2 linked regions of the Cricetulus griseus genome follow. The protein of the gene in region 2 interacts with the protein of the main gene of each other region in a pairwise test. Links are inferred from orthologs where the notes say so. Each region holds a gene or a part of one and is shown on either strand. Other genes may lie near its edges.

Evidence for each region. The genes of interacting proteins can lie anywhere in the genome.
Region 1: the proteins of Cebpe (region 2) and CCAAT/enhancer-binding protein gamma interact in a two-hybrid assay, tested with the Homo sapiens proteins (2 studies listed by BioGRID and IntAct, with this or other methods). The link is inferred for Cricetulus griseus from reciprocal best matches to the Homo sapiens genes CEBPE and CEBPG.

Annotation. Positions count from the first base shown.
Region 1 is NC_048602.1:3,445,517-3,451,925, forward strand, and holds the end of CCAAT/enhancer-binding protein gamma, read left to right. Parts: intron 1-1,486; 5' UTR 1,487-1,583; coding exon 1,584-2,036; 3' UTR 2,037-4,985; downstream 4,986-6,409. UniProt on the Homo sapiens protein: Transcription factor that binds to the promoter and the enhancer regions of target genes. Binds to the enhancer element PRE-I (positive regulatory element-I) of the IL-4 gene. Binds to the promoter and the enhancer of the immunoglobulin heavy chain.
Region 2 is NW_023276807.1:209,923,860-209,930,801, reverse strand, and holds Cebpe (CCAAT/enhancer-binding protein epsilon), read left to right. Parts: upstream 1-2,312; 5' UTR 2,313-2,862; coding exon 2,863-3,372; intron 3,373-3,934; coding exon 3,935-4,270; 3' UTR 4,271-4,441; downstream 4,442-6,942. UniProt on the Homo sapiens protein: Transcriptional activator. C/EBP are DNA-binding proteins that recognize two different motifs: the CCAAT homology common to many promoters and the enhanced core homology common to many enhancers.

The DNA.
Region 1 (6,409 bases), on a different chromosome or scaffold from region 2:
GGGAAATTGTGAAATGCTTGTTATTGAGTTCATATCCATCATGGCTTGGAAGGAAGCTTTCTTTCTGTCCTGCTTTAGTGCTGGAGTAAGAACAGATGACCCACTAGCTCAGGGCTGGCTGAGTGGCTTTTTAAGCTATTCAAAGTAATGATATATGGACATTTAAAGGCAAAGATTAATAAATAATAAAAGGCCAACTTAATAAGCATGCTTGAAGAAGCCTGGCCAAAGTTTGGGTGAAGCTGTTGATGTTTACTGACTGGACCGGGTGTCTCACTGGAGCATTTTCCTAACTCCAGTTAACTTCCTAACTTTGTCCATTATTTAGCAGTTCTGGGAAGAGAGCAGGGCGGTGTGATGGGTCACAGTGCTTTCAAAGGGTGCTGTGTCTCCTAGGTGGACATGGTTGATTCAGCTGTTGGGTTTATAGTGACATGTCCTCTTGGGGATGGAGCAGGTGTGCTTTCACAGGTGATAGATAGCCAGCCAGGTCTCGGGGGCTTTCGCAGAAGTGCTTCAGTGAGTCTGCTGAGCTCTGAGAGTGAGAAGTGGGTACCAACAGTGGCTGCCCTGTCCTTGGGCCAGCCTGGGTTCCAGTGTTTGGCCTTCCTTGGCTGTGTCATTAGAACATTGTTTCTTTTGTGAATCCGTATGTTTTGACCCTTCCTCACAGTTCCTCATGTTGTGGTGACCCCCCCACCATAAAATTACTTTCATTGCTGCTTCATAGTTGTAATTTTGCTACTGCTATGAATTGTGATGTAAATATTTTTTGGAGATAGAAGTTTGCTGGGCTAAGTGATTGTGTCACGAATGAAAAACTGACACAGGCTGGAAGGGGGGTACTCTATTGGATGTCTCCGTTCCCGAACAGAGGCCGCCTGAGTAAATTTCAGTAAACTGTCATTTAAGCTTGCTGAAATGCAAAAAGGCAAATCAGCTAACCAACTGAAAATACCCTGCCTTAAAAAAATAGCCCACACAATAGGTGATGCCACTGCTAAGTCACCCTGGGAATATTGACTGGGGAGGCCCCCGATCGATTTGACCCTCATGGGTTCTGCAGGCTGGGCCTTCTGCTCCAGCATTCTGACCTGACTTGAAACACCCCTCCTCTGGTTGCAGGTGGCCGGCCCTTCTATAGCAATTGAACTTGCTTCCCCATGCTGGCCCCAACCAGACAGCTCAGACTTCTCCCCGGCAGATTGTCCACGTGCTCTTAGCTCACATATGCTACCTGATTTGTGCTAGGCTTAATTTTTTTTTCTTTTTTTTTTTTTTCTTTTTGATGATCACCGCTAGCCTCAGGTGGGGCTGGCTTCTGAATCAACTTACCTTTGAAATTTGGAAACACTGCAACATTTGGCAGTTGTTTGTGTCAGCAAAACCAAAATTAATGGTTGCCTGCTATGTTAGGTCCACGCAAGTTTAATCTTACTTGATCCTGTCATTTCAAATATTTTAACGCAACTTGTTTTCTAACTAGGTACATGTGAAGATTTTTTGGCACTTGGGGTGTAGCCTCTGCTGGTCACACTGCTCTGATTTCTGCCTGTTCTGTGTTGGCAAAGGAACTCGCCCAAATGAGCAAGCTGTCGCAGCCAGCCACTGCTCCAGGAGTGAACGGAATAAGTGTCATTCACACTCAGGCACATGCCAGTGGCTTACAGCAGGTCCCTCAGCTGGTGCCTGCCGGGCCCGGGGGAGGAGGCAAAGCTGCGCCTCCAAGCAAGCAAAGCAAAAAGAGTTCGCCCATGGATCGAAATAGTGACGAGTATCGCCAGCGCAGAGAGCGGAACAATATGGCCGTGAAAAAGAGTCGATTAAAAAGCAAGCAGAAAGCTCAAGATACACTTCAAAGAGTGAACCAGCTCAAAGAAGAGAATGAACGGTTGGAAGCCAAAATTAAGTTGCTGACAAAGGAGTTGAGTGTACTGAAAGACTTGTTTCTCGAGCACGCACACAACCTCGCAGACAACGTGCAGCCTGTCAGCACTGAAGCTACCACGACACATTCTGACAACACAGGGCAGTAGTTCTCCTTCCAGGCGCCATGGACCTGAACTCGAGAGGTGTGAACACCTGCACCGCCAGTTCAGTGGCTGAGCTTGGTCTTGTTCCATCTGAGGTTATTTTCTAGGCTCAGTACTGAACAGTGGATTAGCCATGTAATTTATCTGGTCTTAATGATAATGGGTCTTTGAAGCACTAAAAGAAAACTTAGGGTTTATGGTTAAAATAAAATTCCTGGACCTTACTATTCTTAATAAATCCTGACTTCCCCAGAAATGTTTCTTTTTCTAGGAACGGGAAAATGGAAGGCCATGTAGAAGGGTTAGGGTTTTAATGAGACAGTACCTTGGATTAAGAAACGCTGGATTCCATCTCTGTTCCTGGATTCGTGATTTTAGTTTAAATTGTGTATTGTAAATTCTAGGGCTTCAGAAACCAGTCATAATAATTTGGCCCCATTTTATAGCTAGTATAAACCTGTGTTTGCATAATTGGCATTGGTTTTCCCAACGAGTACGTCTATATTTTTTAAAACGACTTCAGGCAAAGTAAAGAAACCCCATTCAGGTCACATCAGAGAGGTGTTTAAAAATACAAATTGCATTTAGGAAGGAAAGAAGTGGTTTTGTTTTCCCCCCGTGTTTGTTTTAAAGGGCATAGAGAGAGGAGGATTGGACTTTGGGGTCCTTTGCTTTATTGGAAGGAAAGAAGTGGTTTTGTTTTCCCCCCATGTTTGTTTTAAAGGGCATAGAGAGAGAAGGATTGGACTTTGGGGTCCTTTGCTTTATTGGATTAGCATTATCTTGAGTCCTAAAAAAGTGTCTACCTGTACTGACATTTTAGTTTCTGTGAATGCTAGTAAAAGTAACATTTGTTGGGCGGGGGGAGCACCTTTAAATTTTTTTTTTTTTTGGACAGCCAACTTAGTAAATAAAATGCCTTGGCTGGATGATACAGACCATGCTTTAGAAAACTAGTTTATGCTGGTCATGATGTCACATACCTTTAGTCCCAGCCCTCTGGAGGCAGAGGGAGGTGGATCTCTGTGAGTTCAAGGCCAGCCTGGTCTACAAAGTGAGTTCCAGGACAGGCAGTGCTACACAGAGAAATCCTGTCTCAAAAACAAACAAACAAAATGAATACTAATTCTTTTGGTTTTTCCTGTGTTGAGAATAACTGCCAAGGGGGCCATGATTTTTAAAGGCAGGGTTTGTGTGTGTGCAAGTGTGAAGAGGCACGCTTGGGCCTTTGATCCCTACTAAATGATTACTAGAAAAATGTATCAACTTCATGCCGTCTCTCAAAAGAATAGTCAAAGAAAACTTGAAAGTATAAGGTTTCAATCTTTAATTTATTTCCTAAATCTGTATTTTTCTTTTTTTGAGGCATTTCTTTTCTAGTTTAATGGGGTGTTTGTTCTTCCAGACTTAATGTTTCATTGTCTCCGTGTATCCATTAGTATGCTTTTATGTTTTGTATAAATTATTTTAGAGAGAAAATGCTGATGAAACTCAGGATACTGACTTTTTTGTTGTGAAACTGAAAAGCCGATAGGGTGTCTCTAGGGGCTCTACTTTTATCATTGCTGTAGTTTAGATTGTCTTTGGAACTTCGTGGGTTTTGCACAGTTCCTGGCTAAAATTTGTTGGTTCCTGAGATGGTGACTAAAACCTGAGTCTTGCATGATTACAGTTTGTGTTGCCTGGAATCTTGTCTGAACATGGTCATTTCTGGCCCTGTTTCCTACTAAGACTCGGTTACTGTAGCCCCAGTGTAACTCAGGTTACTCCCCGAGCGTGGCAGAAGAGTTTGGTGCCCTGCAGCTCAGCAAAGCCTTTTAGGGCCACTGTGCCGAAGACAGGAGCGGACACCGTTCTTAGGGAACCAAGAAATGAGTGGAGTTTTTAAAAGTTAGGGTCCAGCACCACTTTCCCTTGGTTGGAATAGCCATCTACTCATCAAGATTGGTAGATGTTTTGTCTGACTGACAAGGATGCTCCCAAACAATCCTAATCTTTACCAGCTGATTGAAATTATGTAATGAACTTAATGGGAGACCAATTAGGTCCTCCTTGAATCTGTAAATACCTTCAGACATTGGAAACTCCTACTCCACACACCAGCTTTCACAAACGGATGTGCTCGTGGAATTTGTGGTCACGGTGCAAGGACTTACACAGGCCGTAGGGAAGGCAGTGCTCAATACAAACCAGTTCCAACTGCCCTTACCTTCAAAATCAGATCCTTAGCACCAGCAAGCAGTTCTGCATAGAGCACAAACGTTAGCTGGCCTTGGAACTTTCTTACTAAAGTAGAAATGATGCTTAGCTTGATAGTTGTCTCAGTGTAAAATTGGGGGAAACCAGGTTTGGTGAGTAGGGAAGCTTAGGACTTTGGAAATTGTAAAGTGGCTTTTGTCACTCATTTCTGGGGAACCTTTAGAGTTTGATCTGCCTTGTGGACAGGTCTGGTTGTTTAGGAGTCCAGCTGTGTCTCCTGGGATGGGTTCCCTTTGACTAGTTACAGGTGCAGAGGGAGGGTCAGCTTTCCTTCTGCGCCTGGCCCTCTGTGACAGGGGGGTTTGAAATCCAGGTGGCGAGTCCACTCATCTTTTACACTTCCCAATTTATGAAAGTAGAAACATGTTCAGTTGATAAGAAAGGAAATGCAGCGGTGTTTGCTGTCTCTGCGCCCCCTGCCCCCACCCCCACCCCCAACTGGAGGGCTGAAGCTTCCTTCGTGCCTGAACAACCCATGAGCACCCAGAGTGCTTGTGATGCCTTAGAAATAGGAAAGCTGCCTGTGTGTTTGACAGGTTAGGGAAGATTTCATAGAGCTGATCACATGCCTCTCAGGAAAAATACTAACTTGTTCTCTTTGTTCTTGGCTTTCAGTTTGAGATTACTCTATTTTTTTAAATATAATTTTATTTCTTTCAACGAATTTAAAAATAAACACCTTTGGAACAATGACTGGTTTTCTTTGTGGGTTTCTCTATCTTGGAGGTGAGCAAGAAGTTCACTTGTAATTGGCCCCAAAGATCCTGCAAGGTACCTCCTGCTGCTGTCCTGGGCTGGGCTGGGCTGAGGGGTGAGGGGTGAGGGGTGAGGGGTGGGGGGGCGGGGTCATGGTCATTACATAATTTCAAGCAGGGGGCTTTTGTGCAAGTTTGGATTTCCCTGAGTAGACAGTGGAGTAGTTTACTCTAAACTTGGAATGCATCTTCAGTTGTTTGTAGTTGTTTGGCCTAACTTAAACTGCACCCTGGAGTAGGGGACATGAAAGGGGCTGCTGTCTCCTGGTGGTTCCTAGCCTGTGGTTTCCACCTGAAGCCTGTCTGTCCCTAACGGTGTATACAGTTGAGAGTACCAATACCATCTTGACAGTGCCTGGCTATGGAAGTGAATTAGCGTGAGTCCAAGTAACCAGTTTGAATTGTGTCTTTTAAGGGAGAAAAAATGAGATGCTTTCCTCTGGTTCTTTGAGTCTTGTGTTTGGGGAACTGAATTTCAGATTGTTGCATGATCATGAAAATTGTGTCTTCGTGCAGTGGTGCACACTTGTAATCCCAGCATTATGGAGATGAGGATCTTGAATTCAGGCTAGCCTGAGTACCAGTGAGACCTTGTTTAAAAAAAAAAAAAAAAAGCTGGATGGTGATGGCACACGCCTTTAATCCCAGTGCTCGGGAGGCAGAGGCAGGCGTATCTCCGAGTTCAAGGTCAGCCTGGTTGGTCTATAGAGTGAGTTCTAGGACAGCCAGGGCTACACAGAGCAACCTTGTCTCAAAAAACAAACACCCCCCCCCAAAAATTGTAGCATAGTAATCAATTCTACTGGTGTTCTGTCCTACTTTGTTTGAGTCAATTAGGTGAATTTTTGTTTGTTTTTAGTTTTAGTGAGAAGTTCTCAATGTAGCCAAGGCTGGCCTTCACCTTGCTATGTAGCCAACTCTGACTTTGAGCGTCTGACTTCCTGTCTCTACCTCTGAAGTGCTGTGATTACAGGTATGTACCACTACCTCTGGATTTTGTGTGACACTGGGGCTTGAAGCTGGAGCTTTGTGTATGCTAGGTGAGTACTCTGCCAACCGAGCTGAAATCTCCTGCTCTAGTTGGAGTGTATTTCTCATAACTTGTATTAGAAGTTTTTATACTTTGTGACGGAACCAGGTCTTAATAAAAACACCTTTAGAATGACCAGTCCTCAAAGTGCCTGTACATGTGTGAAGAGTTCATAACTGTATCCTGTGCATTAAAAAAAAAGTCCCATCCCCCGACTCAGCCCTCCCTGTGAAGCGGCTGTCAGGTGCCTTTCTGGAGCACGAAGCTTGAGCTGGACCTCTGTGTGCCCCTGGAACTTGTCTGCTTCAGACCCTACCACTCAGTCCTGGGCA
Region 2 (6,942 bases):
CACTTGGCTCACAGCAAAATGGTCAGCATGAAAAAGTGCACGCTCCATCGATGGAAAAAAAGCATTAATTTATCAGATGACACCAGGCCAACCCATTATCGTTATTCCACAGTCAAGGAGAGGGACAGATTTTCTCTTTGAGTCAGGTCCTGGCACCAATCCCCTAGCCCTCCCCACCCCATTGCTACCTGACTGCGAGTCTCCAGTCCTAAGCCTCCTCGTGGTGCTTCCCAGAGCTGAGCTTTCAGGGCTGGCGTCAGGGTTAAGAAAGGCTGCCCCCTGCTGTCCACCTGGTTCCAAACCATTGCAGTGCCGAACTATTTAGGACGTATTCATTTAGGAACCAATACCGTCACCTAGTGGCCAATAACGACAGGTCACCAAACTGAAATCTCTTAGCTTTGATATCTATTTGTCAGGGACCTGTAGAATGAAAAGCAGAAATTGCCTCCCCCCCCCCCTTCTGGTGCTCTGCTTCTAGGATACGGGTGGCTCTCATCCTGCTCCTCCAGGGCTTTTGGAGGAAGCATATTTGGCCATAATTCAGGCTGTGCTCAGAACATGTGGGGCAAATTGTGGCATTAGAGAAGATGTCATGGAGGTTTCTATCAAGGATACAATGTCTGACTTGTGGGCAAGTTACATTTGCAGTTTTATTTTAGTGTTCAATGACATATGTATGCTATCCAAGCTTACCCCTGCTGTGACCCCCTCATAGTTACCTGGCCCTTGGAATACTCAGCTTAGAAAATACTCGGTTCTTAGGGTAGGAGAGGTGGCTCAGTGGTTAAGAGCACTCACTGCTCTTCCGGATGACCTGAGTTTGGCTCCAAGCACCCATATTGGGTGCCTCACAGAAGCCTGTAATTTAGTGCCAGAAGATCTAACATCTCTGACTTGAGAAGCCAGATATCTTTCTGATATCTTCTGGAAACCTCGAAGTGTGCACATACCCACATGCACACGCACACACGTGCGTGCACACACACCCCTACAATTTAAAAAATAAAGACATTTAAAAAAGAAATGTGTCCTGTGATTTCCAGGACAGTCTCCAAACCTACAGAGAAACCCTGTCTTGGAAAAAAAAGAAAAGAAAAAGAAAAGGAAAAAAGAATCTGTCCCTCTCCCCAGAACATGTTAGTAATAAAAGAGACAAGAAGGTATGATGTCACACCTGTCAACTCAGCTCTAGGGAGGCTGAAGCAGGAAGACTGAGAGTTCAAGGCCAGCCTAGGCAAACAGGGAGCCTCAGCCTAAACAAATAAAAAGGAGTCAGGCAGTGGGGGCACACACCTTTAATCCCAGCACTCGGGAGGCAGAGACAGGTGGATCTCTGAGTTTGAGGCCAGCCTGGTCTACAGAGCAAGTTCCAGGATAGCCAGGGCTACACAGAGAAACCCTGTCTCAAAAAAAAGGGGGGGGGAGAAAGAAAGGAAAAAAAGAGAGAAAGGAAGGAAGGAAACACATTTCTCATTTCTACGTGTTTTCTTGCCACTAAACCTGGAGCCCTGCTTGAAGGGCTCTAGAAAACCAGAACCACAACAGATACCTCTGACTAGGGAGCAGGGCATTCCCAAAAGGAAAAGAAAAGTGAAATTTGGGGATTAGTGGACAATGAAGAACAGTCAGGCAACTACAGGCTTCTCCTATGGTCGCAGAGACATCCCCAAGAAGAGGTGAGGACAAGAGAGAAGACTTCTCAAGCTTACAAGAGGAAGTGGACACACTAGAGGTCAGAAAACAGTCATGCAGAAGGAAAGACAGCAAACGAAGCTACAGTGAGCTCCAGAGCCTGCATGCACACCAGAGCACAGGAAGTAGGAGGCAGAGCCTCTAGCCAGTGTGGGGTGGGGTCAGCCTGAGCCTCTTTCAGTGAAGGTGGAGCAACTGGGGCCTCCATGGATCTTGTCTGTCTGTTCTGGGGCAGCAGCCTGTGAGGTTCAGGGCCCATGTCTTGACCAGAAACCTCAGCTATGTCCAGGCAAACTGTGGCAGGCTGCTAGAGGTAGCCAGGATGGGAAGCATGTGAACAAGCCCTGTACAAAGACCAAGCCAAAGACCCTTAATAAAGCTGCACTCTGGAGGCAAAGGCGGGCAGACCTCTGCGAGTTCAAGGCCAGCCTGAACTACATAGTGAGACCCTGTCTCAAAACTAGCAAATGAGTGTGCCCTGTGCTAGGGCCAGGGGAGGCTTGGTCCTAGAATCTATTACTACTTCCCAAAACCCTCAAACAATGATGCCTACACTGGGGAGAATGCTGTGGGAGGTGGGGCTATACAAGGAACTGACTTACCCCCCGGGGAGGTGGAGTTCAGGACTTGGGGGGACAGGGAGGAAGATGGCTCAAGGGAGGAGTTTAGACCAAGTTGGCACTGGAGGAGTGCTTTCTCTACTGGCTCTGGCTTGGTGCCCTACTCTGCACAGATCTTTCTGGAAGCTGGAGGAAGACAGACACTCAGAGGAGCTACCCTGGACAAGGGGTTGGAATCCCTTAACCTAATAGGACAAGAGGGGACATTTTCCCAAACAGCAACTTCTGGACTGTGGCTGGGGCCTCACCAAAGAGCGCCCTAACTGCTAAGCACCCCTCCCTCTGGGGTGTGCCCTGCCCCTCCCTGACTCACACCAAGGAGAGAGGGGAAAAGGGAAGAAAGGAGAGGCTCTGACTACAGAAGGAAAAGGAAGCAGAGGAGGAGGAGAGAAGCCACGTAGGAGTGGGGGACAGAAAAGACCAGAGAGGTCAGACCTAGGGCAACTCTAGGGCCGGGGGAGATCAAGAGAGGGCAGGCTGAGCGTTCATCCCAAGGAGTGCCCCAGCACAGGACCCAGGGGCGGGGAGCCAAAGGGGCGGGACGGCTATGTCCCACGGGACCTACTATGAGTGTGAGCCTCGGGGTGGCCAGCAGCCACTCGAGTTCTCAGGGGGTCGAGCTGGGCCCGGGGAGCTGGGGGACATGTGTGAGCATGAGGCCTCCATCGACCTATCTGCCTACATCGAGTCTGGGGAAGAGCAGCTACTTTCTGACCTCTTTGCCATGAAGCCAGCACCTGAAGCCCGAAACCTTAAGGGCCCAGGAACCCCTTCGTTCCCCCACTACCTGCCGGCTGACCCTCGGCCATTTGCTTATCCCTCACATACGTTTGGCCCAGATAGGAAGGCTTTGGGGCCTGGCATTTACGGTAACCCAGGGAGCTACGACCCCAGGGCTGTGGCCGTGAAGGAGGAGCCCCGTGGGCCAGAGGGCAGCCGAGGTACCAGCCGAGGCGGCTACAATCCCCTGCAGTACCAAGTGGCACACTGTGGGCAGACAGCAGTGCACCTTCCCCCGACCCTGGCAGCACCTGGCCAGCCTCTACGCGTCCTCAAGGTAAGACCAAGACAGCTCTCCCTTGGTTCCTCCCCGGGTTGGAGCAAGATGGTTGGTTGGATGAGGGAACTCTGACATGGGGCTTACCCAACAAGTCTATGTTTGGTGCTCCTCTGTGAAAACGGCCCACTCCACGGCCTCGCTTCCCCACTCCGTGAATTCCGAGCTCCACTGTGTCCTGAAGACCTTGTGGTAGCTGCTCTGCCCTAATCTGCGGTCCATATACCCCTTCTCTTGCTTCTCGGCTGTGTGCTTCTGGAAGAGGAAATACTGCTGATTGTAGAATTGTAGAACAGGAGACTTAAAACAGACAAACCAAAGGAAAGTGTCCTAAGAGAAAATGAGAGCATGAAAGACAGCTTTGATCTCAAACCAAATACCAAGTGCATCTGGGTTCCCGTCTTTCACAGAGAAAGGGCAATGACTGGGAGATGGGAGCGGCCTGGGAGCCCTCTATTCCTTGGAAGCCCCAAGTGTGCCCTTGCTGCTGGGATTCCTGCTCAGCCCCTATTTTGCCTGCTGATGGACCCTCACTTCTCTGTCCCTCTGACTTGCCCTCCAGGCCCCTGTGGCTGCTGCTGCCCCTCCCTGCAGCCCCCTACTCAAGGCACCTTCCCCAGCTGGGCCCTCACACAAGGGCAAGAAGGCAGTGAACAAAGATAGCCTGGAGTACCGGCTGCGACGCGAACGCAACAACATTGCAGTACGCAAGAGCCGGGACAAGGCCAAGAGGCGCATTATGGAGACACAGCAGAAGGTGCTGGAGTACATGGCTGAAAACGAACGCCTGCGCAGCCGTGTGGAGCAGCTCACCCAGGAGCTAGACACCCTTCGCAACCTCTTCCGCCAGATCCCTGAAGCTGCCAGCCTTATCAAGGGTGTAGGGGGCTGCAGTTGAGCCTGCTTGGCAGACTATGGACACCAGACCCTAAGGACTCCTACCCTCCTCGGTCCCCAGAGTCCTGAACAGACGATGCCTAAAATAGGGATCATGGACAATGGCAGCCAGTAGCTGGGAAGGTCGGGACCATAAAGATTCTGTTGCTGAATAAACTGCAGTGTGACTTGATGCTGGAGCTGTTCACTGGGTCTCGGGCCTGGGCCTGGTGGGAGGGCTGTGCATATACACGCATGGAAGACCCCGAGGGCAGGGAATACATGTGGCTAGGTTCACATGTTCTTGTATCCGTGTACACATGAACACCTAGTAAATAAACCTAGTAATTGCTGCCCACAACTCTCTCCAGCCGAGCTTGCTTGGTGTCACCACTGCTCATGCCAGGGCCTGCAGCAGCCTCTGCAGACTGTCTTGTCTTGAAGAATTCTGGGGTTCAGGGTGATCCCAACACTGCACAGCACCAGTGCCAGGCCCACTGACCCTAGGCCCGCTTTCTTGCTTTAAGGCCTGGAAGCTCTTTTCCCAGGTGACTTTCTAATGACTCTGCCATATTTGTGGTCCCTTAGCTCTTGACCCAGCTCTCTGTCTCTCTTCTCTTGTTCCACATCTCCACTCCTATCTTTATTTCTCATCCCCTAGGCCCTGGCTCCCTAACACTGGAGAAGATGAACACCTGGGGAGAAGTCAGTTAGGATGTAAAACCCCGCATTCCACGTGTTTTCTTTCCCATAGAACTGCAGCCCAAGAAGCAAAACTGTATAATAATTGAGTCTCGGTTTGCATCTCTGACTTGTAGCCTGTCTGACCCTGAACCAGTTACCTCTCCTTTCAGTGCCTTGGTTTCCCCATCTGCACAAGAGGAATCTCGGTACCTATCCCGTGTGTTATTTTCATAGAGAAATGGGGTTTGACATGTGGTGAGCGTGCATATCTGTTCTGATTCCGTTTTGCTAGAGACAAAAAGACATCGGATCGCCTCCAAACTTCTCTTTTTGCAGGTGAGGAGCCTGGGGCCCCAGAGAAAGGAAGAGACTGCCTGGAGTCACACAACGATGTGAAGGCAGAATCAAAATTAGCTCCGTGAAATCACAGATCTCAAGAGGTTCTAGGAGAGACCTCAAGAGATCATCTGTGCGAGCTTTGCCCTCAGACAAGCAAGATAGTGTGAGCCACATCTTGTAGATAAAGCAGGGAGGGCCAAAGGGGATAAGAGCTCACTCAGTCCTTTGCTGCCTCAGCACAGGGTACGTCTTTCACATTCTCCCCTCAGAGAAAACAGCACAGATGTGCCACACGTGCCACAGTCAAGAAAGAATTGTGGGGGCTGGGGCTGGGGCAGAGTTGGCAGCGTGCTTGCCTAATATTTACAAGACCTGGGTTCCATCCTGAGCACTGAAAAACAAGAAAAAGTAACAGTGAACTGCCCCACAATGTTAGAGACTAGGCAGGATAAGAACTACAGTGTGGGGGCTGGAGAGATGGCTCAGTGGTTAAGAGCACTGGCTGTTCTTCCAGAGGACCCGGGTTCAATTCCCAGTACCCACATGGCAGCTTACAACTGTCTATAACTCCAGTTCCAGGAGATCTAATACCTTCACACCAATGCACATAAAATAAACTTAAATAAACTAGTTTGAAGAGCTACAGTGTGTGTGTTTGGGGGGCTTGGGTGGGGGCTGGTGTATATGGATCATCACAGGTCTGTTTCTCTTTCCACTTCAGACCTCAGTGGTACAAGCTATCACACATCCCGGGTATCTGTGTGCACCAGGCTAACTGTGGCCAAAACTCTTCCCACATCTGCCTCAGCACCCTCTCTTTTCCCTGTGTCCTTGAGTCCTCAGCCAAGCTCAGATCAGGGTGATCAGACTTGAACCTTTGGCTGGAAGGGACCGATGGAGGCAGCTTGAGTAGGAGGTAAAGGTGCCCTCTCTATGGCACCTGGGAAAATCCTCTCACCTTGCCTTCAGCCCTTGGGATGCATAAGGGGGGTTGCACAGAATGCAGCTGGTGGCTCAGTCTCACAGTTCCCTCCACTTGGCTTAAGGCCACCCCAGCTACCCCAGGACTCCTTTTGAAGACATTAACTGGCAGCTCTGCTTTGTCTGAGCTTCTTTCCCATGGCTCTGAGCTGTGTTTCCTCATATCCCCCCAGTGACCTGTCACTCCTCAGAGGGTCCTTGTAATTGTCACTGAAGCTGAAGAAGAGCCATCCCCCAGTGAGATCCCAGTTAGATACAAGGAACAGCCAAACACACCCTACTCCCTTCTGTCCAATTCTATCCTGAAATATCTTGCCCCTTCCAGATGGCTCTCAATCTGATGTTAAGTGACTTCAACCAAAGTAATTTATTCAAGGGATACTGCCAAGCATCTCTGCTGAGAAACAGACGATGTCTCGGCTCCAGGAATAGGAAGGAAAGGGTGATAAACAAGCAAGTCTCCTGTCTCTGTGGTCCTTTCACCCACCCTTCCATCCTCTGTCCTAAGGCTGTTCTGCTCTCAGGAGGCTGCCTTCCTTCATCTGCAGGTTCCCAAAAGTGAGGGGGATGGGGGTAAGAAGGAGGTCTAGAGCAGCACAGGGAGGCAGAACCTCTCTGCTGGCCCCTCTCTTAGCATTCCCCTGCCCTTAGGGCCCTAGGATGGCAATGACTCTCAGGCTATTGAGCCCT